Caenorhabditis elegans: one gene and its partners. The protein of the gene in region 3 purifies or fractionates together with the protein of the main gene of each other region. This does not show direct contact. Each region holds a gene or a part of one and is shown on either strand. Other genes may lie near its edges.

Evidence for each region.
Region 1: the proteins of brc-1 (region 3) and let-70 purify together in Caenorhabditis elegans (co-purification; one study listed by BioGRID). This does not show direct contact.
Region 2: the proteins of brc-1 (region 3) and msh-5 purify together in Caenorhabditis elegans (affinity purification with western blotting; one study listed by BioGRID). This does not show direct contact.

Annotation. Positions count from the first base shown.
Region 1 is NC_003282.8:11,077,563-11,086,889, reverse strand, and holds let-70 (Ubiquitin-conjugating enzyme E2 2), read left to right. Parts: upstream 1-4,636; 5' UTR 4,637-4,682; coding exon 4,683-4,706; intron 4,707-4,754; coding exon 4,755-4,928; intron 4,929-4,975; coding exon 4,976-5,081; intron 5,082-5,126; coding exon 5,127-5,220; intron 5,221-5,266; coding exon 5,267-5,312; 3' UTR 5,313-5,804; downstream 5,805-9,327. Other genes in the region: bcc-1 (SAM domain-containing protein), read left to right, coding at 1-52, 99-243, 290-432, 478-577, 659-699; klc-1 (Kinesin light chain), read right to left, coding at 1,031-1,262, 1,311-2,103, 2,151-2,241, 2,285-2,601, 2,645-2,785, 3,119-3,155; atg-7 (Ubiquitin-like modifier-activating enzyme ATG7), read left to right, coding at 5,840-5,966, 6,016-6,182, 6,229-6,381, 6,432-6,962, 7,006-7,599, 7,652-7,822, 7,872-8,072; Y5F2A.4 (C2H2-type domain-containing protein), read left to right, coding at 8,314-8,363, 8,412-8,511, 8,567-8,791, 8,843-8,944, 8,990-9,115. UniProt on the Caenorhabditis elegans protein: Catalyzes the covalent attachment of ubiquitin to other proteins. Mediates the selective degradation of short-lived and abnormal proteins. Plays a role in the DNA damage response.
Region 2 is NC_003282.8:13,149,629-13,160,153, forward strand, and holds the start of msh-5 (MutS protein homolog 5), read left to right. Parts: upstream 1-5,604; coding exon 5,605-5,758; intron 5,759-5,809; coding exon 5,810-5,968; intron 5,969-6,015; coding exon 6,016-6,096; intron 6,097-6,152; coding exon 6,153-6,350; intron 6,351-6,399; coding exon 6,400-6,518; intron 6,519-6,564; coding exon 6,565-6,674; intron 6,675-6,741; coding exon 6,742-6,967; intron 6,968-7,736; coding exon 7,737-7,799; intron 7,800-7,849; coding exon 7,850-7,960; intron 7,961-8,018; coding exon 8,019-8,093; intron 8,094-8,367; coding exon 8,368-8,440; intron 8,441-8,487; coding exon 8,488-8,653; intron 8,654-9,138; coding exon 9,139-9,925; intron 9,926-10,000; coding exon 10,001-10,242; intron 10,243-10,525. Other genes in the region: nlp-79 (Neuropeptide-Like Protein), read left to right, coding at 1-26, 633-777; Protein disulfide isomerase crld-1, read right to left, coding at 1,268-1,479, 2,358-2,495, 2,986-3,084, 3,144-3,270, 3,353-3,447, 4,118-4,220, 4,274-4,370, 4,434-4,516 and 1 more. UniProt on the Caenorhabditis elegans protein: Crucial component in meiotic recombination, functioning at some point after the initiation step of recombination. Plays a role in promoting the crossover outcome of meiotic recombination events.
Region 3 is NC_003281.10:3,856,515-3,866,819, reverse strand, and holds the start of brc-1 (Breast cancer type 1 susceptibility protein homolog), read left to right. Parts: upstream 1-3,861; coding exon 3,862-3,932; intron 3,933-3,985; coding exon 3,986-4,331; intron 4,332-4,787; coding exon 4,788-5,016; intron 5,017-5,065; coding exon 5,066-5,139; intron 5,140-5,201; coding exon 5,202-5,540; intron 5,541-7,598; coding exon 7,599-7,727; intron 7,728-7,774; coding exon 7,775-7,874; intron 7,875-8,383; coding exon 8,384-8,502; intron 8,503-9,888; coding exon of another isoform or gene 9,889-10,305. Other genes in the region: acs-19 (Acetyl-coenzyme A synthetase), read right to left, coding at 1-818, 870-1,196, 1,255-1,370, 1,495-2,205, 2,256-2,315. UniProt on the Caenorhabditis elegans protein: E3 ubiquitin-protein ligase that specifically mediates the formation of polyubiquitin chains and plays a central role in DNA repair.

The DNA of each region.
Region 1 (9,327 bases), on a different chromosome or scaffold from region 3:
TTCTCTTCCAGCTGATTTACTTAAAGGAATGATGGATTTATCAACTAATGAAGTAAGTATGAAATAATAAGTTGCATAATTTGATCAAATACTTGTAGCCATCCACAAATGGTCCTCCAATGATGAATCATTCACAACGGGGACTTTGTAGTGTACGAGAAGAAGATGAAGAGCTCTCTGATTTTTCAGCTTCATCCACTAATTATGGAATGTCTAGAATCTTTGAACAACCACCTAGAAATGGTTTGAATTCTCAAGGGTTTTAAAGTTTTATTTTCAAAAGTTGAAGTGTTCTCTGCATCAACGTCGGTTTTCGATTCGAACTCACTTCCATATAATCTACAATGGGATATTAATTATTTCACGGATCCTTCCATGGTTCTTGCACAACTTGGATGCAGTGAATACATGACTCAGTTGAGAGATCAGGAAGTTTGTTTCATGCACATTTGAATAAAAGTATTTTATAATTTTTAGATCGACATGCATGCTTTTTTGCTGCTCGACGAGCAGAATCTGAAGGACATTGGAGTTTCCACAATTGGTGCCCGCAAAAAGATTCATCACGCAATTTTGAGTTCGTTTTCTTTTCTCTGCCTAGTATGAGCAGAAAAATAACAAAATGAGCGTTATAATATTTCCATGGCAACTTTTCCAGAGCTCCGCGACTCGGCTCGACTTAACGGATATGCAGTCTAGTCTATATTTTCGACGATTCAATAATTTTCGGGGTGAAATCTCACCGGTTTTCCTAATAAATCCATGATTTGCTGTTTTTTCAACTAATTCTTAAACAATAATGAACTTTTCTTTTTCACATAGAATACGAATTGGACTTTAAAGACAATACTTTATTCAAAGCGTACAGTTCCATTAGCTCTCCATGAAAAACAACTCTATATTTAACTCATCAATTATTTAATACGAATTAATTTACCATACATAAATATCAAAAATAAGGCTTTGAGTATGCGACATGGAAAACGTAAAGAGGGGATCGGCAACTAAATTATCACGAAAAGATGTGAAATCAGAAATTTAATCCGACAAAATGCATGATTCTCTTTTTGATCCCACTTTGAGCAGGATTAATAGCTACGGCGCTTGAAGTTTCAACACTTGAGGCAGTAGAATTAGTGTGATCTGCTCCTCCGTTGATTTGTTTTTTCGCACCTAAAGCTTCTTCCAGCGTCCCTGCAGCTTCCTCTTTTCCTTGCTTACGATAAACTGCTGCCAAATTCTTTATAGTTGACATCACATTGCTGAAACATAACAATGTAATCATTAATAAACTAATTAAAGGCAATAACCTATCCATCACAGTTGTCGGGTTCACATTAAAGGATTCATCGTCAACCTTCGGAATCCCATTTCGCTGTCTTTCTTCGCGATCTTCAGCGATTCTCCATATTGGTTTGTTTCCGGTGATAGCAACTTTCGAGAGAATGTTCTTGTACATCTCTTCAGCCTCTTGATACTTTCCTTGCTTTAAGAAAACAGACGCCAGTTGGTTTTTTGTCTTAATCACATTTTGATGATTTTCCGGAAATGCACGATTATAGATTGACAGAGCTTGTTTGAAATAGTTTTCTGTTTCTTCATACTTTTCAAGCTGTTGGGTGACAATTCCGAGGTTTGTGAGCTGTTTAGCAACATCCGGATGATTGGGTCCTAGAAGATTTTTCCGAATTTCGAGAGCTCGTTTGCACAAAGGCTCAGACTCCTTGTACTTTCCGCGTTTTCCATAAGCGATTGCCAAGTTGTTTAGCGTTGCCGCCACAGAATGATGGTTCTCTCCACAACATTGTACACGAATGGATAAAGCTTTTTCCAAATAGATCGCAGCATCTTTGAAATTTTCTTGATTTCGGTAAACTATTGCCAGAACATTGAGCATCGTAGCAACATCCAGATGAACATTCCCGTGAACTTTCACGACGTCTTCCAGAGCTTGCTTGCATAGCGGTATCGCAACTTCAAATCGACCTTGCTCCATGTACTGTATGACCAGGTTTTGTAACGTTTGCAGGCGAGTCGGTAATTGGTAATCGTTACTGATAGGATTGGAAAAAGACGATGAGCGACATCCCTGATCGGCTTGATCTGCAAGATAAAACAAGCATAATTCGTAGCACAACAAATAAACTTACTGTTGTTCTGATCCTCTTCCTCTGGTCCGAATCCAAGTTCCTGTAGAGTGTCTACCATCATGGGCGTGGCATCGACGGAGGTAGTGTGTTGCTAAACGCGTTATTTAATCCCAATCACAAGATAAATGACTTACAAAATCACTGTTCAGGTAATTCATGGAATCTTGAAACTTGTAGTGATCCCTTTCTTCCTCCAAATGCGCGACAGTCCTCTCCGATTCTTGAAGCTTCCTCTGTGTGGTTGTCAATTCATCAAGAAGCCAGGTGTTTTCCTGTCTCAGAAGCCTAATACTTTCATGGTTTTTTGACAGTTGAACATCGTATGATTGCATCAATTTGTCCATCATGATGAGCAGAGATGCTTCATCACCACCATCCATAACTTTCCCAAGACTTTCATCAATCAAGCCCATCTTTTCACTGGGCAAAGAAGGTTCGGATGAGTCTGAATCTGATAGAAACTTTATTCGTACTCATTCCGTAAATCGTCTTACTAATTAAATTAGCTTCCAATATCCTTGTTGCAGCCTCGTGTTCATCTCGCAATGCAAACAACGTTTGTTGGACCGTCTTTAAGACAGTTGTGATATCGTCACCCAAGGAAATAACCATCACTGTTAGAGGAATGAGAAGCCCTGAAAATTGTCTCGTACGGATGATGAACGTTAATTTTTCTTAAATTTAAGAACAATAAAAACAATAAAAACAAATCACAAAACAAAACCAAATTTATGAAATTTAATTTCATGAAAATGAAATATTTCAATGCGTTGAATTCAATTGAACAAAAAGACGACGAGATAGATGTGCAGGTGTGCCGACTACGGTAGCACGAGATCCAGCAGCCTGACAATCGGCGGGTTTTCGAACAACTGTTTTCAAGTTTGCACAACAATTTCTCGTAATTTAATGTGAATTTTCGATTATTTTAATGTTTTCTAAAAAATTTTTGTTGTTTTTATTAATACCTTCAACGTAATATGGGATAGACAAGCAGTATGCCATTTAAAAATATTTTTTGATTGGAAGAGCTTTCCATATCTCTTGGCGCCATTTCGAACGCGGCAAAATACAGATTGTGAAACAAGGGCGGTCCATCATTCTTACTCATTTTCTTCTAATTTCTTCAGTTTCTTTTCAGTTCGTTTGCGATGTTCCTTATTTTTCTTCCTGCTCCAACTTCTGTAGTTCGTTCTGTTGTACTTGTTTCCAATTTTTTAAAGGTTTTCCTCGCTGAATTCGTATTTTAAAAATAACTTCAACTCCACATGTGAGTAGTGATTAGGGAATTTAGTGCTCGATCAATAATTTGAACAACATTTTTGCAAAACTTATTTCTCAAAATTAAAGTCACTTCCGAAGTATGATTTGGCCTATTTTATACCTCTTTGTTTTCGTTGTCCCACGTGACTCATATAGCACGAAATAAGAAAACACACTCAAGTTCATTCGTCCTAAAATTTTATAAATTCCGCGTTCAAATTTCAGTCATCTAGTAACCATCAGAAAAGTGCAAGTTCACTCACGTCCACACTGAATTGAATCAGTGGAATCACATGATCAACTGCTTCTCTCACTCTCTCGCTTTGTCATTAGATATCTCTACCTCTCTGCGTTTCGTGTCTAAGTGCTTATAGTTTCACTTCTCTCCGCTTTCAATCCCCATTGCGATGCGACTGCAGCATTGCAGTGAGTGTGATGGTCGTCTCAAGACCCATGGCGCTGCGTATCGATCGTTGCCTCGTACCCTCTTACGTTTCCTGTGTTATTTCTGTCTCTGTCGTTCTGACACTTCAGCGCTCACCCCGTCGCTCATTTTCACTCACAGACAGCACACATTCTCACTCACTCGCAGCCTATGGCCATTTCTTCCTTCCTCACCATCTCGTGAGGCGACAAGTCGCGTGTCTTTAGTCGATTTCAGAGTGATTATCTGGAAATCATTTGTTTCAATCAGAAAATAATACGTACATGCCGAATAGTTTTTTAAAAAACTAACCAGACAATTTGTGATACGTCTTGAATTTTAATTTTTGCCCAGTCTCGATTCATTGTGAAGAAAATTTTACAAGATTTGAATCGCTTGCTTTTTGTGCGTAATATTCCAGTCCATTTCTTTTAAGCGTTAAAATTTTTTTCGAGTGTCACTGGCTTGTAGCCGTAAAAATGTGTCATATTTGTCATCATTTCTCATCGTTAGTTATTTTATTAGGAAATTTCCGAAATTTATGTTATTTTGGTTTTCAAATTTATATCTGTTCTATTTTTCCTCATTTTTCGCTTTCTAGAATGTTCCACTAGTTTCGAAATGTGACGTAACAGTTCACCACGAAGGGCAAACTGAGTACTTTGTACCGCCTCTAAATATCGATTTTTCGCCGCGCCGCGCCGTACTCTTTATGTTATTTCATGCGAAAATCCTCACTTTCAATTTTTCCCTATAGCAGAAGCTCAATTTCACCGTATTTATCGAAATTTATTTTCAGAGTACTCCGGGTGTAGCCGGGTCAATCAGCAAATCAGAACACCAACATGGCTCTCAAAAGAATCCAGAAGGTAAGGTTTCAACACTTAACAACAATAAAATTATTATGTACGTTTCAGGAACTCCAAGATCTCGGCCGTGATCCACCCGCACAATGCTCCGCTGGACCAGTTGGTGATGATTTGTTCCATTGGCAAGCTACGATTATGGGCCCACCAGAGTCTCCCTATCAGGGAGGTGTCTTCTTCCTCACTATCCACTTCCCAACAGACTATCCATTCAAACCACCAAAGGTATTGATCGAAATTGGAAAAAAATAAATTTAATTTGTTTTCTTCAGGTTGCCTTCACCACTCGAATTTATCATCCGAACATCAATTCAAACGGAAGCATCTGCCTTGACATTCTCCGTTCGCAGTGGTCGCCGGCTCTGACCATTTCGAAAGGTTGATATTATCATTATTGTTCGCGTTCTAACTTTTAATTTTCAGTTCTGCTTTCGATCTGCTCGCTGCTCTGTGATCCAAATCCGGATGATCCACTTGTGCCAGAGATTGCACGCATCTACAAGACGGATCGTGAAAGGTGAATTTAGATTTTCTTTTAACTACTAAAAATAATCGATTTTCAGGTACAATCAATTGGCGAGAGAATGGACGCAAAAGTACGCTATGTGAGGAGGCTAACACCATTCATACAAGAACGCAGCCAAACCAATCAATAAACCATGTGTTTCTTTTCCCTCTCTGTGTCTCCCATTCATCTCCAAACCCTTTCCATCTTATTCAATCCACACCAAACCCCGGCGATTCCTCTTTTGTACTATAAATTGTGTTCTCTTTTTATCGATTTTGTTCTCCCCCACACATTATTCTCCTTCAAAAAATACCCACTTTCATATTATTTTCTGTCGTCAGCAAAGCGATGTAAAATATATATGGTCTTTTATATTTCTTCCTTATAATTCAAAAGTAAATCGAACGGTGTAGATTGATCCCCTCAATTCTCTCTCATCCCCTTTAAACTATTTTGTCTCCAAATCTCCCTCCTCCCTTCCTCTGATTTTTCTCGAGAAATTGAAAAAGGATTTCTTCCAAACCACCACACATTCGTTCTTCGTTTATTTCATCTGGCGGTCTGAGAATCCTGAATAAATTACTGAAGAGCGTCTATTATTCTCGACATTGTTTTTCTTTCAGAATCGATGGCCACGTTTGTTCCCTTTGTTACTTGTCTTGATACAGGTTTTTGGAACGAAGTGAACAAGAAAAAGCTCAATGATTGGAAACTCGATGAGACGCCAAAGTGTATCTCAAGTCAATTATCGCTTCGTAAGAATTGCCTATATCCGTATCAGATGATTTTTAATTTAAATTACAGATCAAACCGAAGGTTTTAAATGTCATCTATCCTTAAGTTACGACAGTTTGAGCAGTTTGGAGAGCACAACTGGATTGTCAATGTCCGGTACCCTTCTTCTGTACAATACAATTGAAAGTTTCAAGATGGTTGACAAAAGTGATTTGATAAGAAGTGAAGCAGAAAAGGTAGAATAACTTTCGTATAGTTAATCAAAATCGTCAGCAATTTCAGATCTGGGAATCTATCACAACTCGAAAATGGCTCCAAAATCCTCGTCTTCTGTCGCAATTCTTCATCATCGCTTTTGCTGATTTGAAAAAATTCAAATATTATTATTGGACATGTGTTCCTGCTTTGGTATATCCTAGTGAAATAAAACAAGAGGTTGAAAAATCTTTAAAAGTCTTTGAAGTTCGTAAATTCTTCGGTTTCAGATCACACCACTATCATCTCTCGGAGCCGATCACAAGATCCTGTTCGACTTTTATAGGAAAAACAATTTTCCGATCTTCCTATACTCCAAACAATCTTCAAAAATGCTCGAACTGTCAGAATTGGAAAACAACACAAATCCTGACGAAATATGTGTTGTTGTCGCTGATCCTTCTCCTGTTGCGTATTCTGCAGGATGGATGGTTCGCAACGTTCTTGCCGCAGTGGCACATCTTCATCCTACGTGGAAGCATTGTCATATCATCAGTCTTCGTTCAGCTGACAGTATCGGAATAAAATACACATGGACCTTGCCGAGTGCTGAATGCTCAGCAGATGGAGCTCAGAATGCTGTTCCAAAAGCTGTGGGATGGGAAAGAAATGCAAATGATAAGTTGCAGCCGATTTCAGTAGACTTAAGTAAAGAGTTCGATCCAAAAATATTAATGGAAAGATCTGTGGATCTTAATTTATCATTAATCAAATGGAGATTGCACCCAGATATTCAATTGGAAAGATACTCACAGCTGAAGGTATATATTTAAATTTTAAATTTTATATTTTGTCATATTCCAGGTTCTCATTCTTGGTGCTGGAACGCTTGGATGTAACATTGCCCGTTGTCTTATCGGATGGGGAGTTCGTCACATTTCGTTTCTTGATAATTCAACTGTCAGCTACAATAACCCCGTTCGCCAGAGTCTCTCAGAATTTGAAGATGCACGCCTGGGTCGTGGAAAAGCCGAAACAGCACAAGCTGCTATCCAACGCATTTTCCCATCGATTCAAGCAACTGCTCATCGTCTCACTGTTCCAATGCCTGGACATTCTATCGATGAAAAAGATGTACCAGAGCTGGAAAAAGATATTGCAAAATTGGAGCAACTTGTGAAAGATCATGATGTTGTTTTCCTAGCATTAGATTCAAGGGAAGCTCGCTGGCTTCCAACAGTTTTGGCTAGTAGACATAAGAAGATTGCAATTAGTGTCGCGATTGGATTCGATACCTACGTCATCATTCGGCATGGAATTGGTTCTAGAAGCGAAAGTGTTTCAGATGTTTCATCATCAGATTCCGTACCATACTCTCAGCTTTCTTGCTATTTCTGCAGTGATGTAACTGCTCCAGGAAATTCTACTTTCGATAGAACATTGGACCAACAGTGCACTGTGAGTTTTTGAACTTCCACACCTCTATTTCAAAACGGATGCTTTCTTTCAGGTTGCACGACCAGGAACATCTATGATTGCATCTGGAATTGCCGTTGAACTCTTATCGTCTGTTTTACAATACCCTGATCCACTCAAGACACCAGCCAGCCACGACGATAATACAACAGTCCTTGGAGCTGCTCCACATCAAATTCGCGGTTTTCTGGGAAGATTCCAGCAGGTATAATAATTGTGTTCTATTTGCTTTAACTTCGTTAATTTTATTTTAGATTCTTCCTTCTGTAAAACGATTCGATCAATGTGTTGCTTGTGGAGACGCTATCGCTGCACAGTTTCAGCAAAATGGCTGGAAGTTTGTTCGCGACGTTATGAACTCGCCAGGTCGTCTCGAAGAAGTCACCGGGCTCGACGAGCTTCAGAACTCTGTTAATGCTATTGATATCGATTTTGAGGATGATGAAGATTTCTGAATTGGTCGCCTCAAATTTTTACCTTTTCTGTATAATTGACTGTGCATTGACTGTACTCTGACACAATTTTTCATTCTCGTGATTCTATTTTGCCTCCAAATTTTAATAATACTTGTATCAATAAATTTTGGGTAAATTCTATTAAAACCTTCTACTGAAAGTTAGCATGAAAGCACTAAATGATTTATCTCGTTTTATAAATAAGATGTATTTTCAATAATTTATCTAATTTGAGCCGGCAATGGCACGACACAAATGTCAAGACTGCGGGAAAACGTTTGATTTAAAACGGTAAGAAAAGCCTGAAAATATATTTTAATCTTCTATGATGAATTTCAGATATCTAACAAAACATGAATTACGAATGCATAAAAATGTTGTGAAATCGAAGAATGACAGAAGCGCTTCAGATCCACTGAAATGTAGTATGTGTGATAAAGTATGGAAATAATTCTTCATTAAAAGTTATCCAATAAAATATCCAATAATTTCAGGTATTTCCACGTCTTTCTCATCTTCAGCGTCATCAAATGACACATCTTAATGTCAGAAATTATTCATGTACATTTTGTGAAGAGAAGTTCGTACAAAAATCACATTTAACTCGCCACGTCTCTCGAAAGCATTCGAATGCTCCTGGAGTAGAAGTTGACTGGACAGCGTGTGACAAATGTGGGCAATTATTCAAGACTACTTATGAAATGAGAATTCATCGACAGGTACCTTCTATTCAACACGGATGAAACAAGTTTAAAATACCTACTTTACAGACATATCACGAACTTCACAAATGTAAACAATGCCAAGAAGTAATAGAAGCAGGAAGTGATGGTTTACGGAAACATCATATGCAATGTAGAAAATACTCAAATGTTAGTTACAGGTTTTTTTTTCAAAAAATATTTAAACACTTTCAGGTTTGTGATGAGTGTGGAGCATCTTTTTCTCGGCCTGCAGACTTGGTTTCCCATGAGACTTCTTGTCTTAAAAAGTTCGCATTTGTCTGCAAACCATGTGATTCATACTTTCGACAAAGAGTTCAGGTAATTTCTTAAAGTTGGTAATTTCTTAAAATTTGGGATTTTGTTCATTAAAAATCTAAGATAGTCCTACGTTCCGAATAGCCACAACAGAAAAACGAAAAAAAATGCATTAAATTAATTTAATGCATTGATAAATTACCAAAAAAAGCCATTTGATTTTGGCGAATTTTCAATTTTGGCTAAATAGTTATTTGAATTTTCGTGCTTTTGTC
Region 2 (10,525 bases), on a different chromosome or scaffold from region 3:
CTTAGTGCACACACTACAGAAGCAATGTGAGTTGGAAAAAATTAAATAAATTTCAGGCCAAAGTCGGAGCCTAAGCTTAAGCCTAAGCCTAAGCCTAAGCCTAAGACTCATCCTAAGCCTGAGCCTGAGCATAAGCCTGAGCCCGGGCCTAAAACTAAGCATAAGCCGGAATCCAACAAACATAGCCCCCAGGAAATGCCAATCTGAGAGTTTAGTTTTCCCCAAGTTTGAAAATTTTAGATTTTCCAAGAAATGAAGTGTTTCTTTAAAATACATTTTTCCATTGAACACGTCCACCGGAAATGTGTCTGAACCTTTTTTTTTTGAAAAGTTTGAACTCGTTTTTGGAAAGCTCACATTTCCAATTCTCGCCCACATTCTTGAGTGTGAGGGGTCACTTGCAATGTTGCGGAACTTTGAAGAATGAAAATGTGTCGATTTACGCAGTTCGTGTACTCCTCGAGGAAAAGTCTACAATTTCTTTTGCGAAAAAATACAAAAAGCAGCACATTTTGACGAAAAAAAAAACTATTTATAATATTGCGAAATTGCTCGTAAATCTACAAAATAAAATGCTGGCCTAGCTTTTTCTCTTCCACTCTTTAACCTAAAAACCCCAAAACAATTTCCAGGCCACGTCCGGGACAAATGTCATTGAGCAACACACGAAACTGTTTCTTCTCGCCAATGGGATGTGTCTTCGTACCAAAGATGTCACGAATCCGGAAACTTTCAGCTGACTTTCGCAACGAAATCCCGCCACCCGACTACATTTGATCTATTGCTGCTCCACCGCGCGCCACGTACATCGCCACGTTTTCTATCGATTGGCGTGTTTTTCGCCGTATGATCTCTCAGTTCGTTCACACATTTCACGATCTCTTTCTTCTAGCAGTTCTTCTCATTTTTTTTAAAGTTCGGCATAAATCTACCATGTTATTTGAAAAATGTGATATATATATATATATATATTGCACATAGAAAACAAGAGAAAAATCACAGACAGATCGGGATTGAAAGCAATCAAAAAATGCATATATATAGCAACAATAAATAAAAAATGTTAAAATTAATATAGGCTATAATTCATCCTTCTCATCGTCATCGTCTCCATCCTCATCTTCATGAGCTTGCTGTTCCGTTGCTTTCAAGGCTGCAAATTTTGAAAAAATGAAAATATTCTACATTTTATTGATGAATTTCTGAGCAAGCGCTGTTAACTGTTTAATAACCGTATAAAACCAATAAAAAAAATTTTAAAAATTGTTCAATATCCTAAAAATCGCTTGGCCTCGTCGGGAATTGTGTCAGGATTAACATAAAGATCGACAAGAATCAGGGCGACGATGGTGATTCCCGTTAAAACATAGAGCACTGGGGATCCGTGCCAAACGACGAAAGTGATGATGATGATGAGAGAGGAGAAGGCAATCAATTTGAGTTGCTGGTCGATTGGCATGAACGGGCGATCAGGAGATGCTGAACCATGGTGAATAGAGGAAATTGGAACTGGGTGAAGGAGCCCCTAGGGAACATGCAGAAGCTTCAGACTTTGTTAGGTTTACTTATATAACGCTTTCAATCTCTCTACAGAATCGTAGAAATCTCCATCCGATCTAGGAAACTTGAGCGCTTTTTCCTACGCTTTTTCCTACGTGGCCTAGAAAAAGTAAAAACTTGGCCAGCGATTTATCTTGAATTTTTCACGTTAGATATTTTTGGAGCTCCAGCTGAAGCTTCCCCACAACGGTTTTGAATGGCCCTAACTCTTTTTATGAGGGTGGCCGAGTTTTCTTATATCACGGCCACGTAGTAAAAACCGTTCTGTGTGTGGGGTTTTGTGAAGAGGACGTTATATTCCTGGTGCACAAAACTCTGAGAATGCGTATTGCACAGCATATTTGACGCGCAAAATATCTCGCAGCAGAAAACTACAGTAAGATGACTACTGTAGCGCTTATGTCGATTTACGGAAATCATTTATTAATCGATCAAAAATATTGAACATTTTTGAAAAAATCACAAAAATTACAATTTGAATATTGCTGTCACTTTTTTCCCGAAAATCGAGCCCGTAAATCGACACAAACGCTACAGTAGTCAATTACAGTAGTTTTCGTTACAAGATATTTTGCGCGTCAAATATGTTGTGTAATACGCATTTTTTATGTTCTCGCAATATATTTTTTGAACCATGATTTTTCAGAAAAGCTCGTCCCTTTTTTTTGGAAATTTTTGTTTTTAATGCAATTTTTCGATTTTTTTTTGAAAACTGAAATTTAAATTAGATTATCCAGAAGTAAACCAGATCATGCTTTGTTAATACCACATTCAAATTGAAGAAAAAAAAAACGAACCTTCGACGTCAAATTGACAATTTTGCTCATCATCCTTCTTATATCCTTCCTTACATTCACACTTGAACGATCCGACAGTGTTCACACAAATTTCGTGCTCTTTTGTGCATGCGGACTCGTTTTGGCATTCGTTGACGTCTGAAATAAGGATTTTTGATTAATTAAAAGTTAAGATGGCGGTTCAAAAATTTAGAATTCTAAAAAAAAAAAATTGAAATTCGCATTGAATTTTATAGATTTTTGCATAGTGTTTCGGCAATTCTGCAAATTTTAATTTTTCAAATAAAATGTTTTTCAGCAAAAATCTGGTCTGGAAAATGTTAATTTTTCTCTATAAACCAGATTTTACTTTTTTTTGAAAATGACACGAAAAATCTATGCTTTTGTGAATTTTCCAGGTGAAAACTTCAAAATTCAGAGCTTTTTATCGGAAAAATCACGAAATTTTTTCACTTTTTCCAAGCAGAAATGGGGAAAAATCGCGAAATTTGTGCTCTCAGTCCCAGTTTTTTTTCACAATTTTTTGATTAGATAGAAAAACACGAAAAATGGAGATTTTTCAAAAACTTTTCTTTTTTTCAAGAATATTAAATGAAAATTCAATTTTTTTTTCCAACTTTTCTCATACCTGCGCACCCTTCTTCTGTCAATTTCCACCCATTTTTACATTTTGAGCATCCTTTTGAGCTCTCCGATGAGCAAACTCCAAGGCAGCCCTCGTGGCATTCTGAATTTTTTCAATTATTTATTTTTTCGATTTCAAAAATTAAAAAAAAAAAAACAAACTTTTACAAACGACACCCTGCACTGTCCGAGATTCTTCGAAATACTCGATATCACAGTATCGGCATAGATTTCCAGTATATCCAGTCTCACATTTACACTTTCCACTGCCTTCGCGGCTTCCATCTCCCTGAAAATTGGATTTTTGTTGGTTTTTTTAAAGGGAAAAATTAATTCTCAATTTTTCAAGATTTTAAAGAAAATTGACTAACATGACAGGATCCTTTTCCAAAACAGACATCAGCTTTTTCACTTAATCCAGGACATTGTTCGCAGTTTTTACCAAAGTGTCCATCAGGGCAGCACACTGAAATTTTTTTATTTATTTTTTGCTATTAAAAGTTTGGAAAATATTATAAAATATTGCTTAAAGGCGCACGTTATTGTTTAGATGGGTCTCGCCGCGAAAAAATATAATTACGGTTTTTTAAAATTAAATCCGAAAATTAATTTTTTTGCATTAATTTTCGCTTAAAGAATTTCAATTTTCAATCACAAATTTCTAGTAAATCGAAAAATATTAATTTCTAGCTATTTTTAATCAGAAAATTGTGAAAAATCGTATTTTTTCTAATAAAACTACAAAATTTTCGCGCTTTTCACAGTAAAAATAGAAAAAAAACTCAATTTTTAGTATGAAATTTGCAAATCTTTGGCGATTTTCAACGGGAATAATAACATTTTTAAGTTTTCTGGCGGAAATTTGTTGAATTTTGCGATTTTTTTGCTTGAAAATTCGGTTTTTATTGAAAATTAGGCTCTCGAAAAATTTCAGACTGGAAATTCAATTTTTTATTGATTTTTCGGGGTATATTGTGAAGAATCTAGTTTTTAAAATGTTCGTTTTATTCGCGATTTTCATTTAGAAAATAGCGAAAAATTCAATTTTTGAGGCCGAAATTCGCGAATTTTCAATGGAAAATGCGTTTTCTTTCGATTTTCATACGTTTTTATAGTCAAATTTAAGAAATTTTTACATTTTAACTGCTCAACACAGAGCCAATTTGACATATTATTGTGTTGCTGGTTGTAGTAGAACTCTTCAATTGTTTCTTCATGCTTTTCAAGTTGAGTAGAGCACTGAAAATATAGAAATTACAGGGTTTTTATTAAAAATTTAATTTTTTGAATACTTTAAACTCGATTTCTGCGATTCCCATAAAATTGTCCATATTTGGGAGCGACGATTTCTTGCAAACACCTTCGAGAACTTCGATTAGCCGGGTTTCACTGAAAATTTTGATTTTTTTTTTAATTTAAAATATTTCCAGCGCCAAATTTCGAGAAACCAACCTAGTTTTGTACTTTCCCAGATTTTTCTCTTCCCAAGCTGTGTCTCCACCGGCAAAATGATGGCGAGCCGTTTTTTTGAGACCCTGAAATTCGGAATTTCTTTTTATTTTATATTTTTAAATTCATTTAAATATAAAAATAGAGCACAAACCTCATCAAATGTGCTCACTAGAAAATTACACGTCCTGCATTTTTCGTTTTTGATGGTGACTTCTTTTTGTGACGTGGCACCAATTAATACAGCAAGCAGGAGCAGTATCCGGCTCATTTTCACCCTGAAAAATGGAAAAAATTGGATTTTTATGTAGCTTTAAGACACGACAAACCGTTATTTTAGAGAAATTACACGCAGAATAAGCGAATGAGCGCGGCCGAATGCACTGCAAATTGTCTACGTTGTCCAGTTTCTCGGCCCTGTGAGCGGAGAAAAGAGAGGGAGAAAAGAAAAATGAACAAATATTGGCTTTGACCGGGATTACTAGCAAAAGAGGTGACTGATGGAAGAGGGAACAATTAAATATTAGAAAAATTCGAAAAAGTTAATTATTTTCGCTGGAAATCACCTTAATTTGGGGAGTTTCGAAAGAAATTTTGATAAAAATAGAATTATCCACTTTTTATTTCGTGAAAAAAACAACAATTTCGACTGAAAATCCAGCTTTAATTCGAGAAATAACAAATATTTATTTATTTAATTAAATTAAATTAAATTAAAGAAAATAATTGAATTACTGTAGTGATCGTTGCGGGACCCGATGAACCGAAATCGGTATGCGCCTTGTAGTTACGGTAAGAAAAACGGGCGGTGTCGAGAATTTAATTTAAATTGCATTTCCAAAACAATTTTCCTCGTTTGAAAATAAATTTTACGAGTTTTTGGTTAGTTTAAATGCTAAAAACTTGATTTAATTTAATAAAACGTACCTAAAAATTCAGTTTCGTAGCAGAAAACACGAAAATTTCAGTTTTTAGTAAAATTTTCGGAATTTCTATTTTCAAGTCTTGTTTATAGTTACTTTTTATGGTGTTCAATCAACTTTTTGAAGTTTAAAATGTTTAAAACGTTTAAAATTACTTTACAAGAACCGAAAAAAACCGAAAATATTTCAATTTTTAGTTTTTCAGCAACCTTTTCTTAAATCAGAAATAATTTTATGAAATTTTGGTTCAAATGTCCACTCGATGGAGATATTACAATTCAAAACGCGGGAATGGATTCCGCGGTCGAGGCAGAGGCCGAGGTCGCGGTACAAGCTTGACCGCCGTCGCCTTACCCCGTGATGATAATTTTCACAAGGGAGCTCAGGATGGCGCTTATTTCAAAGGTTAACTCTAGATTATTCCTATTTTCTTTAAATAATTTATTAAAATTGCAGACATGCCGATGGATCCGGAGCAATTTCGGGATGAAACGGTGCTCAGTCTTTCTTTTGCTCAAGGAATGCTCGGAGCTGCCTACTACGAGCAATCAAGCCAGTTGTTGAAGATCATGAACGATATTTCAGAAGATCTTGAATTTAGATTCTTGAAGAGATGTCAGTTTTAAATCCAAAAAGCTTGAAATTCAACTCATTTTTTTCAGTGATAGACGATGTGAAGCCGACGCTAATAATCGCAAATAGAAGCCAGGATCTCGAATTTATCAAATTTTTGACCACGCGGTGTATGAAAATCATTATAAAAATTGAAAAAAAAAGATTTTTTTAAAATTTTTTTCAGATGATCCACAGGAAAAAATCTATGAAGACGGGACTACAGAAGAAGGAACATCAGAGGATACGGTTCCGACATGGGATTCTTCGCTAGCTTATTCTACTGACGAGACAACGGCGGAAAAAGAAGAAAAAGAAGAAGACGAAGATGATGATGACGAAGGATTACCGGCGAAGCTTAATAAGCTCCCGAACAACTTTTTCAGTTGCTTAATAATCTCCAAACATTTTTGATTTTAAAAATAAATTTGCAGGAATGTCGCGAGCTATAGAAAGATTAAAGGCGATGGCCGGGTCCCATGACAGTTCGATGACGGAAGAGGACAAGTACATTATCATCAAGATGAGATTTGATATTGAAGCTGTTAATATGGTTAGCAGATCTCTGAGCCAAAAAAAAAATTATTTTCCATCTTCAGATAAGATCATTTGGAGCACTTCTTCTTTTCCTCGATGAAACTAGGATGGGCGTGACAGACGATCCTTTGTCAGTCACTTCACCTATCAAATCTATCAAGACATTTACATTGTAATTTTACTATTTTTTGTTTTTTATTTCCCTTTGAAACAAAAAAAATCATTTTCTTCTTTTTCAGAGGAAACCTGGTAGAAATCGATTTCAACACAATTCAGGCGCTGGATATTCTGCCAAAGGAAACCGAGAATAAGAAGACTTTCGGACAAGGTAGATCACTTTATCAGTTGATGGATAAATGTAGATCAACCGTTGGAAAAAAGTGCCTTCGAAAATGGTTTAGAAATCCGACTACGGATAGAGATGATCTTGTGTCAAGACAAAAATGTGTGCACTACTTCAAACAGGTGATAATCTTTAAAGTGGAGTACCGAAATCTATGGGAAATATTTTTAAATCACTCCAAATTTTCCCCTGATTCCGAATATCTAAGTGAAAAAATATTTTTAAAAAAGAGATCCCTGATTTTATATTTCAGCTTGAAATCGCGATTTTCAAACGCAGAATTTTCGCGCCAGAGACGGCATGTGTCGATTTACGAGATTTGTGTATATTTACGAGATTTTCAATCTTTATCAGATGCTGATTTTCATTTTTCAACGAGTTTCTTTCATTTTCGTCGGTTTTGCCAGGTTTTTTTTTAAAAGAAAATGTGTTTTTAAGGTAAATTAAACATTATATTATCGAAAAACTACAAAAGTTTCGATTTTCTGTCGGGAAAAGAAATTTTGATAGATTTTTGTTGATATAATGTTTAATTAACCCTAAAAAACGCATTTTCAAAAAAAACCTGGCAAAAACCGACGAAAATGAAGGAAACTCGTTGAAAAACGGAAATCAGTATCCGATAAAGTTTAAAAATCTCGTAAATCGACATGTGGGGCGTCTCAGGCACGAAAGTTCGGCGTTTGAAAAGTCTCATGGGGACGCAAATGAAAATCGCGATTTCAAGCTGAAATATAAAATCAGGGAAATTTTTTTTGAATTTTTTCACTTAGATATTCGGAATTATGAGAAAATTTAAAGTCATTTAAAAAAATATTTTTTGTATTTCGGTACTCCACCTTTAATAAATTATCTTTTCGTCAAATATATACATTTTTTTCTCAAATTTAGGACTGGAACGCCGAAGTGACCGCTAAGTTATCATCAATTCTTGGAAGAGTGAAGGCTCTGAACGTATTAAATAGCAATCAAGTTTAATTTAATTCATTTTTGGCCGATTTCAGAGTGTATTCCAAAAATTTCAAAGTGGAACAGCTCAGCTCATTCATTGGGAGTGCTTCGTATCGACAGTCAACGCGCTTGTTGAAATCTTGAATATTATCAGGCAGACACCGGTAAATTCAAATAATTAATTTTTATAAAAAAGCGAGGTTTCAAATAATTTTTATTCAGATTTCGAAGGAGTTTCCTGTAGAATCAGATCTTCTCCGAGAAGTCTCTGAAATTGCAGTCATCGCGGGCTCCATTGTATGTTGCCAAGTGTTTTCTAAAATACGGTACCTGGTCTCGACACGACAAGAGAAGAGTACTGTACTTTCAAACTTTGTTGTCGCTGGCATTTTCGTTAACAATCTCGTGTTTTAACTCTTTCGTTGAAGTTTTTTAATCGGAAAACTGTGAAAAATCGATGAAAATTCCAGAGCAAAAAAAGTTTGCGATTACAGTAGTCGAACCACATTTATCAAAACTTTGCCGTGCCGAGACCAGGAATAAGATTTAAATCAAACTTCAAAAATTTCAGATCAACTTCGCAGAGTCGAAGATTCAAGGAAGAGTGACAGTGATGAATGGAATCGATGAAGAATTGGATGAAAGTATTTTTTTTAATTGTTTTCAAGCCCTTATTTTATTATTTCTTCAGTACGCGACACATATGAGAACATGCCAATGGTGCTCACTGCAATTGCTAAACAGGAAGAAGCTCGACTTGGTCTACCACCGTACTCTAATGTGGCGTGTGTCTACATACCACTCGTCGGATTTGTTCTTTCAGTTCCAAGAGATTACGGTGTGGAATCACAGCCTGAGTAAGCAATTCAAATCAAAATGAAATCACGCTCCACCCCTAAACGTTGGGTCTCGTTAGGAATCAACGGAAAATCCGATTTTCAAGCATTTTTGACCTTTTTTCAATTGTTTTTCTAGTTTTTATGCAAAAATAGTGCTAAAAAAGTGCATGTAAAATTGGACTTTGAAGTAGGTTAGTTTTGACGTAAAAAATAATGGAAACAACGGAAAAATGGTGGAATTGTCCAAACTGATGATAATAAATTCATAGGCAAAACTCATCTTCATATGCACTTTTCAAACATAATTTATACATGAAAACCATTAAAAACGGTTGTGAAATTGGCAAAAAAAAATGAAAAATCGGAAATTTGCCGAAAATGAAAATTTCCGGCAAATCGGCAAACCAGAAAATTGCCGGAATTGGAAATTTCCGGCAATTTGCCGATTTGCCGAACAGCAATTGCCACCCATCCCTGGTTCTCATCATATTGTAATTTCACAGCATGACTCTACTATACTCCACACACGAAGACTTACGAGTGAGAAATGCCACAACATCAAGATTAGACGACGAATTTGGAGATATTCTAATGAGATTAATCGACAGCCAGACTGCAATCATTCTCACTTTGAAGACAAGAGTGATGAAGAAAAAGCGAAGTATCATTAAACTTCTCTCTATTGCTTCTAGAATCGATGTGCTCATTTCGTTCGGCCTAATTGCTGCACAAAACGGATGGAATTGTCCTGCTCTTGTAGATGAGCCCGTGATTGAAGCCGTCGAGCTATATCATCCGATTAGTGTTCTAGTTGTCAAGAAGAGTTTCGTACCGAATCAAGTTAGTAGTGGTCGAGATGGAATTAAAGCAAGCATTATAACAGGACCAAATGCATGTGGAAAGAGTGTCTACATGAAATCAATTGGAATCATGGTTTTTCTGTCTCATATTGGAAGTTTCGTGCCAGCTAGACATGCGAAAATAGGAATAGTCGATCGAATTGTTACCAGAATGTTTACTGTGGATTCAGTTCTCGATGGGATGTCTACATTTGCAAAAGACGTAGAACAAGTTGCGTTGGCATTGAGGAAAGCTACTGGCAACTCATTGGTTATCATTGATGAGTTTGGAAAAGGAACAATGACAGAAGTTGGACTTTCTCTTTTGGCATCTGTCATGACTTATTGGATGAATAGGGGAGCTGATCGATGCCCTCATATATTCCTATCGTCACATTTCCACGCGCTTCCAAATTATATTCCTCTTGAAACTAACATTGCAACTTTCTTGGTGAGTTTTCTGTTTTTTTTTTCTTTGAAAAAATTTGTTAAAATAATTCTCTGAAATATATATATTCATTCCTAGACGTTCACAGTTCTCCGTGAAGCTGGTGGCAAGATCAAATACCTTTTCCGTATGACTCCTGGCTTGGTTGATTGCTCGTTCGCACTGTCGGTTGCTAAAGAGGAAGGAATTCCGCCACCTGTAATTGGAAGAGCTTGTCGAATTTATAAAGCATTAAAAGCTGGAACTCTACTCAAAGAAATTAAGGCAGAAGTTTCGAATGACAATGAAAAACAGCTTGTGGAAGACATGGATGTTGTTCTGTATGATTTTTGAAGTATTTAATGGAGGAAAATGACCAAAAATATCGGAAAAAAGCAATTGCCGTTTGGCAAATTTTTTGTCAAAAAATTCGGCAAGTTGCCGGTTTGCCGATTTGCCGGAATTTTTCAGTTCCGGAAATTTGCCGGAAGTTATTTATTTAATAAAACGGCAACACTTAAAACTGTGCCTTTAAAAAATAAAATTACCCGTTTTCTCTAGATATTTTCTTAGAATTTACTTACTTTTCAAAATTCATAAGATGCGTACAATTTCACAATCGAA
Region 3 (10,305 bases):
CAGAACGTCCAGAGATTAGTTGTTTGATGACAGATTCGTCGACTAGAGTAGTAGTATCACCGATTCCACTTTCGGATCCTTCAGCAATCTTTCTCAAGATTCTTCTGGTAACCTTGCCGGAACGAGTTTTTGGAAGTCCTGGAGCTTCTTGGATAACATCTGGAACAGCCAATGCACCAATTTTCTCGCGAACTAGTTTCTTGAGCTCAGCCACAAGCTTTTCATTGATTCTCTCTCCAACATTCAAAGTGACGAATGCGTATGGGAAGGATCCCTTGATGTCATGTGGAGCAGCAACAACGGCAGCTTCAGCAACTTTCTCATGAGCCACAAGAGCTGATTCAATTTCAGCAGTAGACAGAAGATGACCACTGACATTCATCAAATCATCAACACGTCCAGTTATCCACAAGTATCCATCTTCATCACGTCTGGCACCATCTCCAGTGAAATAGTATCCATTGAATGGAGCCAAATAGGTCTTGACAAAGCGTTGCTCATCTCCATAGATTCCACGCATCATTCCAGGCCAGGCACGATCAAAGCATAGTGATCCTTCTCCCGGACCTTCAATAACACGACCTTCAGCATCCAAAAGAACTGGAGATGCTCCGAAGAATGGCATTGCAGCTGCTCCTGGCTTCATTGGAGTTGCTCCTGGAAGGCATGTGATCATGTGTCCTCCAGTTTCAGTTTGCCAGTAAGTATCCACAATGGATACATTGGAAAGTCCAACTTGCTTGTACAACCACATCCATGCAGCAGGATTGATGGGCTCTCCAACTGTTCCGATAACCTTGAGAGTTTTGCGAGAAGAGCTGAAAATTAAAAATAAAGATGCTGAACAATTATTTTTGAATAATTATTACCTTTCAAGCCACTGATTTCCGAGAGCCATAAGAGCTCTTGCGGCTGTTGGTGAGGTATACAGCTTGGTCACACCATACTTATCAGTGACATCCCACATTCTAGAAGGAGTCGGATAAGTCGGCACACCTTCATACCAAATTCCCTTGAGCCCATTCATCAAAGGTCCATAAAGAAGGTACGAGTGTCCGGTGATCCATCCACAATCGGCAGTACACCAGTAAACATCGTCTTCTTGTGCATCAAAAGTGTATTTTGTGGTTGCGTAGGCGTACGTCATGTATCCAGCTGTAGTGTGTTGAATACCTTTCGGTTTTCCGGTTGAGCCACTGAAAATTAACAATTTGAATTAAATGAGAAATAAGTAAATTCTAATTCTGAACTAACGATGTGTAGAGAATAAATAGCGGATCTTCAGAATCCATCCATTCTACCGGGGAATCCACGCCTGCACACTTGAGCATCTCCGAATCGTAGATGACGGTGATATCGGTGTAATCGACCTGAAAAATGTTTTTTGTTGTAATTTTAAATGAAAAATCAATAAAACTTAATTTTTTTCTGGTTTTTCTGAATTTGAGACTACTTTGAGCATTTTAGAGCATTAAATTTATTATATTTAGTTACCTTGGGAAGTTCCACTCCATCAGGCTTCGTGACTCGTTTTAAGTGTTCCACCATAATGATAGCTTCCACTTTGACATCTTCCTGCGATGCGAGAACGGCAGCTGCATCCGCAATTGACTTGAGCCCAATTGGTTTAGCTCCTCGAAAAACTCCGTCCGCCGTAACCAAAACTCTGCAGCGAGCGTCGACAACACGAGCGGCAAGTGATTCGGCAGAGAAACCAGCGAAAACAACAGAATGCATTGCTCCGATACGGGCACACGCAAGCATTGCAACTGCTAATTCGGGAATCATTGGAAGATATAAAGCAACCACATCGCCTCGTTTGACGCCATGAGATCTCAGAACAGCGGAGAATTGGACTACTTGGGCGTGTAGCTCGTTGTATGTCCAGGTGGAGGTGTCGGTTGGCTCGTTTCCTTCGAAAATGTAGGCGATTTTGTTTCCATATCCACGTTTAATGTTTCTTTCCAAACAGTTGTACGAGATGTTAGTCTTGGCTCCATCCATAAACTTGACGAAGACATTTCCAGCTTTCGAGTCGAAATTCCATTCGAGACCCTTAGAGGTTCCTTGTTCGAAATGGAGTTCAGATGAGACGGTACGCCAGAACTCGTCAGCATCGTTGATCGAGGAACGGTACAAATCGTGGTAAGATTGAAGGCCAGCACAGTGAGCACCGGCAAGGAGTGGGGCTGGAGGGAGGAAAATCTGAAATCTATTGGTTTTAAAAGTATTCTTTCGAAGAAATAAATTCTTACATCCTCGTCGAGACCTTCTCCATCGTTGGCTAGGTTGAACTTGACGCGAACGTCCGACATGATGAGATGCAATAACCTGAAAATGAGGCACTTTATGATAAGAAAATGCGGTAAAACATGCGAAATATGGCACCATAAACCGTGAGCAGGACAAAGAACAAACACTTGGAAAAGAAAAGAAAATAGAAAGAAAAAAAGGAAAACTGGAGAAAACAAACTCAATAACACAACGCGAGAAATACAATTTCGTTTCGTTTTTTCTTCTATTTATTAGATTTCTCACAATTTGTTACCAGTAAAGTCACGTTCTATATTTCAAACTACTCCTAAAATTCGGTTTGAACAGTTCTCTGATAAACGAATTTCGAAGAACGATCAGAAAACAAATCTACGGTTGTGTGTGATCAATGGGGTCAAACGGTGGACGAAAGGGGACGGCGGAGAGAGGAAAAAGTGAGAGAAAATAAATAAAATTGACCTTCGAGTGCAGAGTTTTGCTGGTATTTTGGTCAGAATTGATTATGAAAATCTGAAAATTACCGCCGGGAAAGTTGAAAATTTGACGTGGAAACGTTTAAAAAAATAAGATGAGAAAGTTAGTACTGTAGATGTCGTCGGATCAAGTGCACAGTACGCAAGCACCGTTACGAAAAATTGCACTAATTGCTCAATTAAATTTTTTTAAAAAATTAATTTTTATAGTGTGTTTTGTGTTTTTTTTCTGCTTTTTTAATGATTTTTAAAGGCTTGATTATGTTTTTTTCTCAAAATTTGAATAATCAATAACATTAATTAATTACTTTATTAAAAAACCACATTTGGCATTTTAATAAAGCAAGTTATCGCGACAAACGGCAAAAATGTCTCTTTTTATAAAAATTGTTTTTTTTTGAGTTAAGAGAAGATGTGGAGTTTTTTGAACTACATTAGTTTTCTAAAAATTTTATCATCTAGATTTTGAGGAAAAAAGCAGATTATATATCTTTAATCTTGGTTTTAAAATTTTTTTAAAAAGCAGAATATTAAAGTAAAATATTATAAAAAGAAAAATTCGTGTTTGCAAAATTTGTTTGAACGGAACCTTGCAAAAATGATATTTAGCAGCTAAACTAACTGAAAACTACTGCATAAAGCTTTCCCAAAAAGAGCTACCATCCAGAAAATGTTTTTTTTTTCAAAGCCGAAAAAGAAGAAAAAAAGATAGAAAACCGAAAAAGCAGCATCGTTTTCGCGCACTCTTTCTTCTTTTTTTCTTTCTTTTTCTAAAAAAAAATATTCTCCGTAGCTTGAAGTCTCAGGATTTCCAAAGGGAATTTCCTTGATAGAATATGGAAAAACAAGAGAGTCATCAGAGAAGGGAGAGGAAAAGCGGGGATGCTGGCGAAGACCGGGGGCACCGACTGAAATATAGGCACCGGCGGGGAGGCGGGGCGCTCTCTCCTCTCCGCTTTACTCCGCCCCGATTGTCAGTGGAGCAGGTTTGCAATGAGTGTTCTCTGATGCCCCCTCAGCGCGGGAGTTTTGAAATCAAATATTTTGTATTTTAACCTACTTTATTGATTTTTCAATTAAAATGAAATGTTATTTGTTTAAAATTTAATTTCAGATGGCAGATGTTGCACTGAGGATCACAGAAACAGTGGCACGACTGCAAAAAGAACTGAAATGTGGAATTTGGTAATTTATTTTCAAAAAATCAACAAAAAAACCTTAAATTGGTTTTTTTTCAGCTGTTCAACATACAAAGATCCAATTCTGTCCACATGTTTCCATATTTTCTGTCGTTCTTGCATTAACGCTTGCTTCGAACGAAAACGAAAAGTTCAATGCCCAATTTGTAGAAGTGTACTGGATAAGCGAAGTTGTCGAGATACTTATCAAATTACAATGGCTGTGCAGAACTATTTAAAGCTATCAGAAGCATTTAAAAAAGATATTGAGAATATGAATACGTTCAAGTCACTGCCGCCAGAGAAAATGTTCATGGAAAGTCAAATGCCGCTGGATATCACGATTATTCCAGAGAATGATGGAAAACGATGCGCTCCAGATTTTGCTATACCTTTTTTGCCAGTGGTATGCTTTTTGGCACAAAAAACCAATTAAAACCAAAAGAAAATCACTAAAAATATTTCTAAAATGTCAAATAAAAACATTTTTCACCTTTTTTTGTGTCGTATAGCGATTAAATCAATTTTTAATAATTTTATTACACACTTTTTTCATCGATTTGCTAATTTCTGACTGAAAATCATAGCGGACTGCGAAAAAATTTCGTCAAAAACACGAAAAAAGCAGAAAAGAAATATTTTTTACTTTTTTTTTGTTTGGAAAACTGGACTCTATAGTTACATTTTCTAGTGTATTTTTTTGGGAAAAAAAATTAAAAATGCAATACAAATTGCTAATTAGCTAAATAGTTGAAAAATTTTGAGTTTTTGCATAATTTAGTCCGTTTTTCGAAGTTATCATTAAAAAATTCGGCCTTTTTGGGCTATTTTGACTCTATTAACATTAAATCTGTATTTTCAGCGCCGAAAGCGACCGAGTCGACCACAACCGCCGAGCGCATTCGCCGAGGAGCCTGCAGAACCGGTAGAACCGCCAGAACCAGCCACAAAACAACCTGTAGAGCTCCAAAGTCGAGTATTCCCGCTGGAAAAATTGAAAAAAGACGTGGAAACCTCTACAGAAACGTATAAAATATCAAGAGAAGAACTGAAAAATGTTGATATTGAAGAATACATAAATACCCTCCGAGGTTGGTCAAAAATCAAAAAAAAATTCGCTAATTTTTGCCAATTTTCCAGAAAATTCGACAGAGATTGATGAAATCGATGCACTTTTCCAATTAATGCCGACGATGCGACAATTTCTTCGAAATGTTTGTGATGATTCGGGCTTATTTAGAGGAAAATAATTTTTGAAATAAAATATTTTTTGCAGAATATCAATCAGCTAATGGAGAAATTCCATGTGGCGCCACCGAAAAAATCAGAGAAACCAGCGAATCGAAGAGTATCCTTTGCGAGTTCTCAAGATCTTGAAAACATAAAAATTATGACAGCTTCTGAATCGCTGGAAACTCCTCCTGAGCCAATCCAAAAACTAGCCCAAAAGCCTGAAGTTTTCAAAAGTACTCAAAATTTGATCGATTTGAATCTAAATACTGCAGTGAAAAAGCCAGTGGTCGTAGCATCAGATGATGATGAAGTTGTAGAAGATTCTGAAGGAGAACTACAAATTGATGAAGATGATCTGGCAAATGTTACCTGTGCTACAAGTGTAAGAAATATAGGAAAATCATTGTGTGCAGAATATATCAGGGGTGTGCGGCAAATTTGCCGAATTTGTCGTTTGCCGAGCTCGGCAAATTTCAAAAAAGTTGATTTGCCGAATTTGCCGAGCTCGGCAAATTTCGAAATTTGCCGCACACGTCAAAAATTTGACAGTACAATTTCGACTAAAACTACTGATTTTTTCGCCAAAAATTCAGTAAAATGACACAAAATTGAGTTATTTTGATGCTTAAGCAGACATACTACACGGAACTGATTCCGAAGCCAGATGTGTGTTAAGAATTCGGTAGTTTTGGTGGTCCAAAAACATCAAAAAATATCAAAAATTTCCGAGTTTGTTAAGCACGGCAAATTTGCCGAATTTGCCGAATTAGCCGAGCTCGGCAAATTTGCCGAATTTGCCGTGCTCGGCAAATATTGAACAAAGAGATTTGCCGAATTTGCCGAGCTCGGCAAATTTTGCGATTTGCCGCACACCCCTGGAATATATGGTTTTCAACAGAAAAATTCAATTTTAATTTTAAAAAAAGTTGAATTGTTTTATAAAAAAGTGCTGAACCCGAAAAAAAAACATAATTTTGAGAAAATGCAAATATTTTTTCATTCAAAATTTCCATTTTTGTTATAATTTCGAGCATAACTTTAAAGAAAAAATTTGAAAATAAATTTTTAAGCAATTTTTTTTTAAATATCAGGTTGTCCCATAAGTTTTTGTACTTTTTTTCAAATATTTTTCCAAAACTTCTAGAAAGTTTTAAAATTTTTTCATCGTAGGTCGTGTCAAGGTCGGGTCGTCCCCTTTCAGAAAAGATTCATTTCATCCATTTCTACTTTGCCACGATGACAATCATCAAACTTGAACGTCGAGACGTTAGATTGCTTCTTCTTTATGAATTTCGTCTTGGTCATTCAGCAATGGAAGCGGAACGAAACATATGCGGTGCGATGGGTGAGGGAGCACTCTCTTATAATACAGCAAAGAGTTGGTTTCAAAAGTTCAAGAACGGCGACTTCAGTCTCGAAGAAATAGAACGTTCTGGGCGACCGGTAGAGTTAAATGAAGAAGACCTAGTGAAGCTGGTGGAGGAAGAGCCTCGTCTTAGTCTTCGTGAAATGGAAGAGAAGCTTGAGTGTTGTCATAGCACAATTGCACGTCACTTGGGTCGCCTTGGTTTTACTTCAAAACTTGGAATTTGGGTGCCTCATGAACTTTCGGCATCACAGAAGCTCACTCGGGTCAACGTTTGTACTCAACTTCTAACTTTTCGTCGAAAGTTCGATTGGCTGAACAATCTGGTTACTGGAGATGAGAAGTGGGTGCTCTATGTTAACCATTCCAGAAAACGTCAATGGCTTCCGATCGGTGAGAAAGGAATACCGACGCCAAAGCCTGATCTTCACCCAAAAAAGATTATGATCTGTGTCTGGTGGGGTGTTCAAGGACCCGTGCACTGGGAATTGTTGCCAACTAATAAAACTATCACTGCTGATTACTATTGTGCCCAATTGGACCGAGTTGCAGAAAAGACCAACGGAAAATATGAAAAACTATATTTTCTTCACGATAATGCTAGGCCTCATGTCGCCAAGAAGACTTTCCAAAAGCTGCAAGATCTTGGTTGGACTGTTTTACCGCATCCACCATATTCTCCAGATCTTGCACCAACCGACTACCATTTGTTCTTGTCTCTCAGTGACTACATGCGCGACAAGCAATTCGACGACGAAGAGCATCTCAAAACTGAACTCTCCACTTTCTTCTCATCGCGTTCGCCGGATTTCTTCTCCCGTGGCATCATGATGTTACCTAGTAAATGGCAACAAGTGGTGGACACTAATGGTGAATACTTGTGTGAATAGTACTACTTGTCGCTTGAGAGAAATAAATTTTTTTCAAAAAAAAAATAGTACAAAAACTTATGGGACAACCTGATAGAAAAATCGAAATATTATTGGAGATATCGGAAAAACTAAAAATAATAATTAAAACAAAAACAAAAATATTCCAATTTTGAAAAAAAGCCAAATAAAAATTATTTTTCAGTCAACTACCCTTGACGCCGACCGTACACCGAAAGCAATTCAAGATGACGAAGATCGAATCGACGATGAGTTGTCACAAGTACCAAAAACAATTGTTTGCTCGAGAATTCATAATGATGCGGACGAAGTAGTGGGACTGGTGGATGTTTGAAATTCAAACATTTTCTTATTTTTCAGGAACTTCTCAGCGATTTCTATCACAAATTCTTGTCAAATGCGTGCCGATTTGCGGAGGATGTGAATGAGCACACGACTCATTTGGTGATGATGAATAGTGGTTCGTTAAAACTGTGAAATTTGGAGGAAGACTTTTTTCTTAGAGATATTGTTCTCAAAAATAATCTGTGAAAAAAATTTAAAAAAAACCATGATTTTACCAAATTTTTGCAAACGGCAGAATAAAAAATCGAACCATTTTGCAGAAAAATGGTTTTTTTAACGCTTTTTAAAAAATCCAAAAATTGAGAATTTTAGATTTTTAAAATGATGCAATTTTTTGGTTTTTTTCCCAGATATATTCGAAAAACCGAAAATTAAATTTACAAAAAAGAGAAACAACGGTTTCATAAAATTTTGTACATTTTCTTCCAAAAATTAAAAAAAATTGCCAAAATTTTAAGCTATTAAAAAAATCTAAGTGTGCTCAAAATATCGGAAATTCGAAAAAACAAAATTCTCGTTTTTCGATTTTCCGCGCGAAATTTTAAAATAAGTTGGATTTTTTCATCGAGAAAAACCTATTTAAAACCGATTTTTAGTTCAAAATAATTTTTAACTAATTTTCAGAAGGCCGTTCAATTTCTCAAAAATCCACAGCATATCTCTATGCAATTGCTCGAAAATGCGTTATTGTAGGACGTCAATGGCTTGTAGATTGTATAACAACGGGTCTTTTACTGTCTGAGGTAATATTTTAATTTTTGTGTTTCATTTTAATTTCCGCTTTAAAAAAATGTTCCGATGAGATGGTCTGATACAAAAAGTGGTGAATTCTGTTGATAAATGTGTGCGATCTCTGGTCGAATTCTTTCAAAATTCACATGAAAATGAGTTTATCAGAGCAGAGTACACACACACCCAACATGCTTGTGATTTTGAAAATTATCGGAATTAATGTTCATTGAAATTGTTTATTTATTTTGGGTGTTTTTTGAGATTGTGCATAATTCGAAAAACGATCAGATTTAAAATGAAATTGAAAGGTTTTAATATGGGGTGAGCAGGGACAAAATATGGAAAATGTTGGAAATATGGGGTGAGCACGGGGGAATTACACTGCAACTTTTTTCGAACGAGGGACGAGGCAAAAAGGTTTCTAGGCCATGGCCGAGTCCCCGACAAGTTTCAGCGGCCATTTATGTTGCTTTGTTTTCCGCGTGTTTTCTTTCGTTTTTCACCAATTTTCCCCATTTTTTCTTATTAATACTAATAAATAAATATTTTTTGCAGATGCTAAAACAATTTCCAAGTGAAAAAATTGTGTATTGAGTCTGTAAGTAGCGGTGAAAGTGGTCAATGCAATATGATGGATTACGGGAATAAAAAACCCAAACTTTTTCCCACACATGCTGCTCTGATGCTGAAACTACCTGATTTTCATAACGAGATCACTGAAAAAGTTTTGAGGTTTTCAAAATTCAACTTTTTTGGTGAAAAAGTAGAGATTTTCGCATAAAAAGTTGAATTTTGAAAACCTCAAAACTTTTTCAGCGGTCTCGTTATGAAAATCAGGTACTTTTAGCATCTAAACATCTATGTATCATGTTTGGGGAAAAGTTTGGGTTTTGTATTCCCGTAATCCATCATATTACATTGACCACTTTCACCACTACTTGCCGACTGAATACATATTTTTTTCATCTGGAAATTATTTTAGCATTAGGAAAAAATATTTATTTATCAGTTTTAATAAGAAAACACGGGAAAAATTGGTGAAAAACAAGAGAAAACAAACACGGGGAGGCAAAGCTAACGTGGCTGAAGAAATTTCTACAGTAGTCCCATTTGGCTGACTGAATATTCAACGCGAATAAGTTTTGTACACTATTGCGTACTTTGCGTACGCGCATTTTATTTGACGACAATTCGTCAATATCAGCTCTGGCTAAAAGCGCTTTTCTCATTATTTAAGCGAATAAAAGTCGAAAAAAAATGTTTTGTGATACAGAATAGTAATTTAAAAAATAAAAAGTGCATATTTTATGTTTCTCATTATGTTTCCACTGATTTTCTGAGAAAAACCGAAAATTTCCTCTTTTTTCGATGAATTTTAGCTGAATAGTTTGTTTTTATCTAGTTTTTCTTCCGATTGACTGAATAACACATTTAATAACATCAATATAACGTTTAAAACATTCATTGTCTCGAAAACCAATATAAAACTCGTCAGAGAGGGATACTAAGTAAATATGCTGAACAAGGAAATGAGAGAGAAGAACATTAACCGAATGGGGAGGGGTGAATAAAAATCTGAACAGGAACGGAATATAAAAAACATTATTAGAAAGAACAAGCATGGCTTGATCTTCTTGGCAGTCGTCTCCTTATCCTATCACTTCTTCTCGGCGTCCTTCTGATCATGCTACCGAGCAACGTGGCACGATCGAAGAGTTTCACAACGGTTTGATACTTTCGATTCACGAGTCGGGCTCCCAATTCAGCGAGGGTCCTCTCACGAAGCGTGTCGCATTTTTAGGAAATTTAGAAAT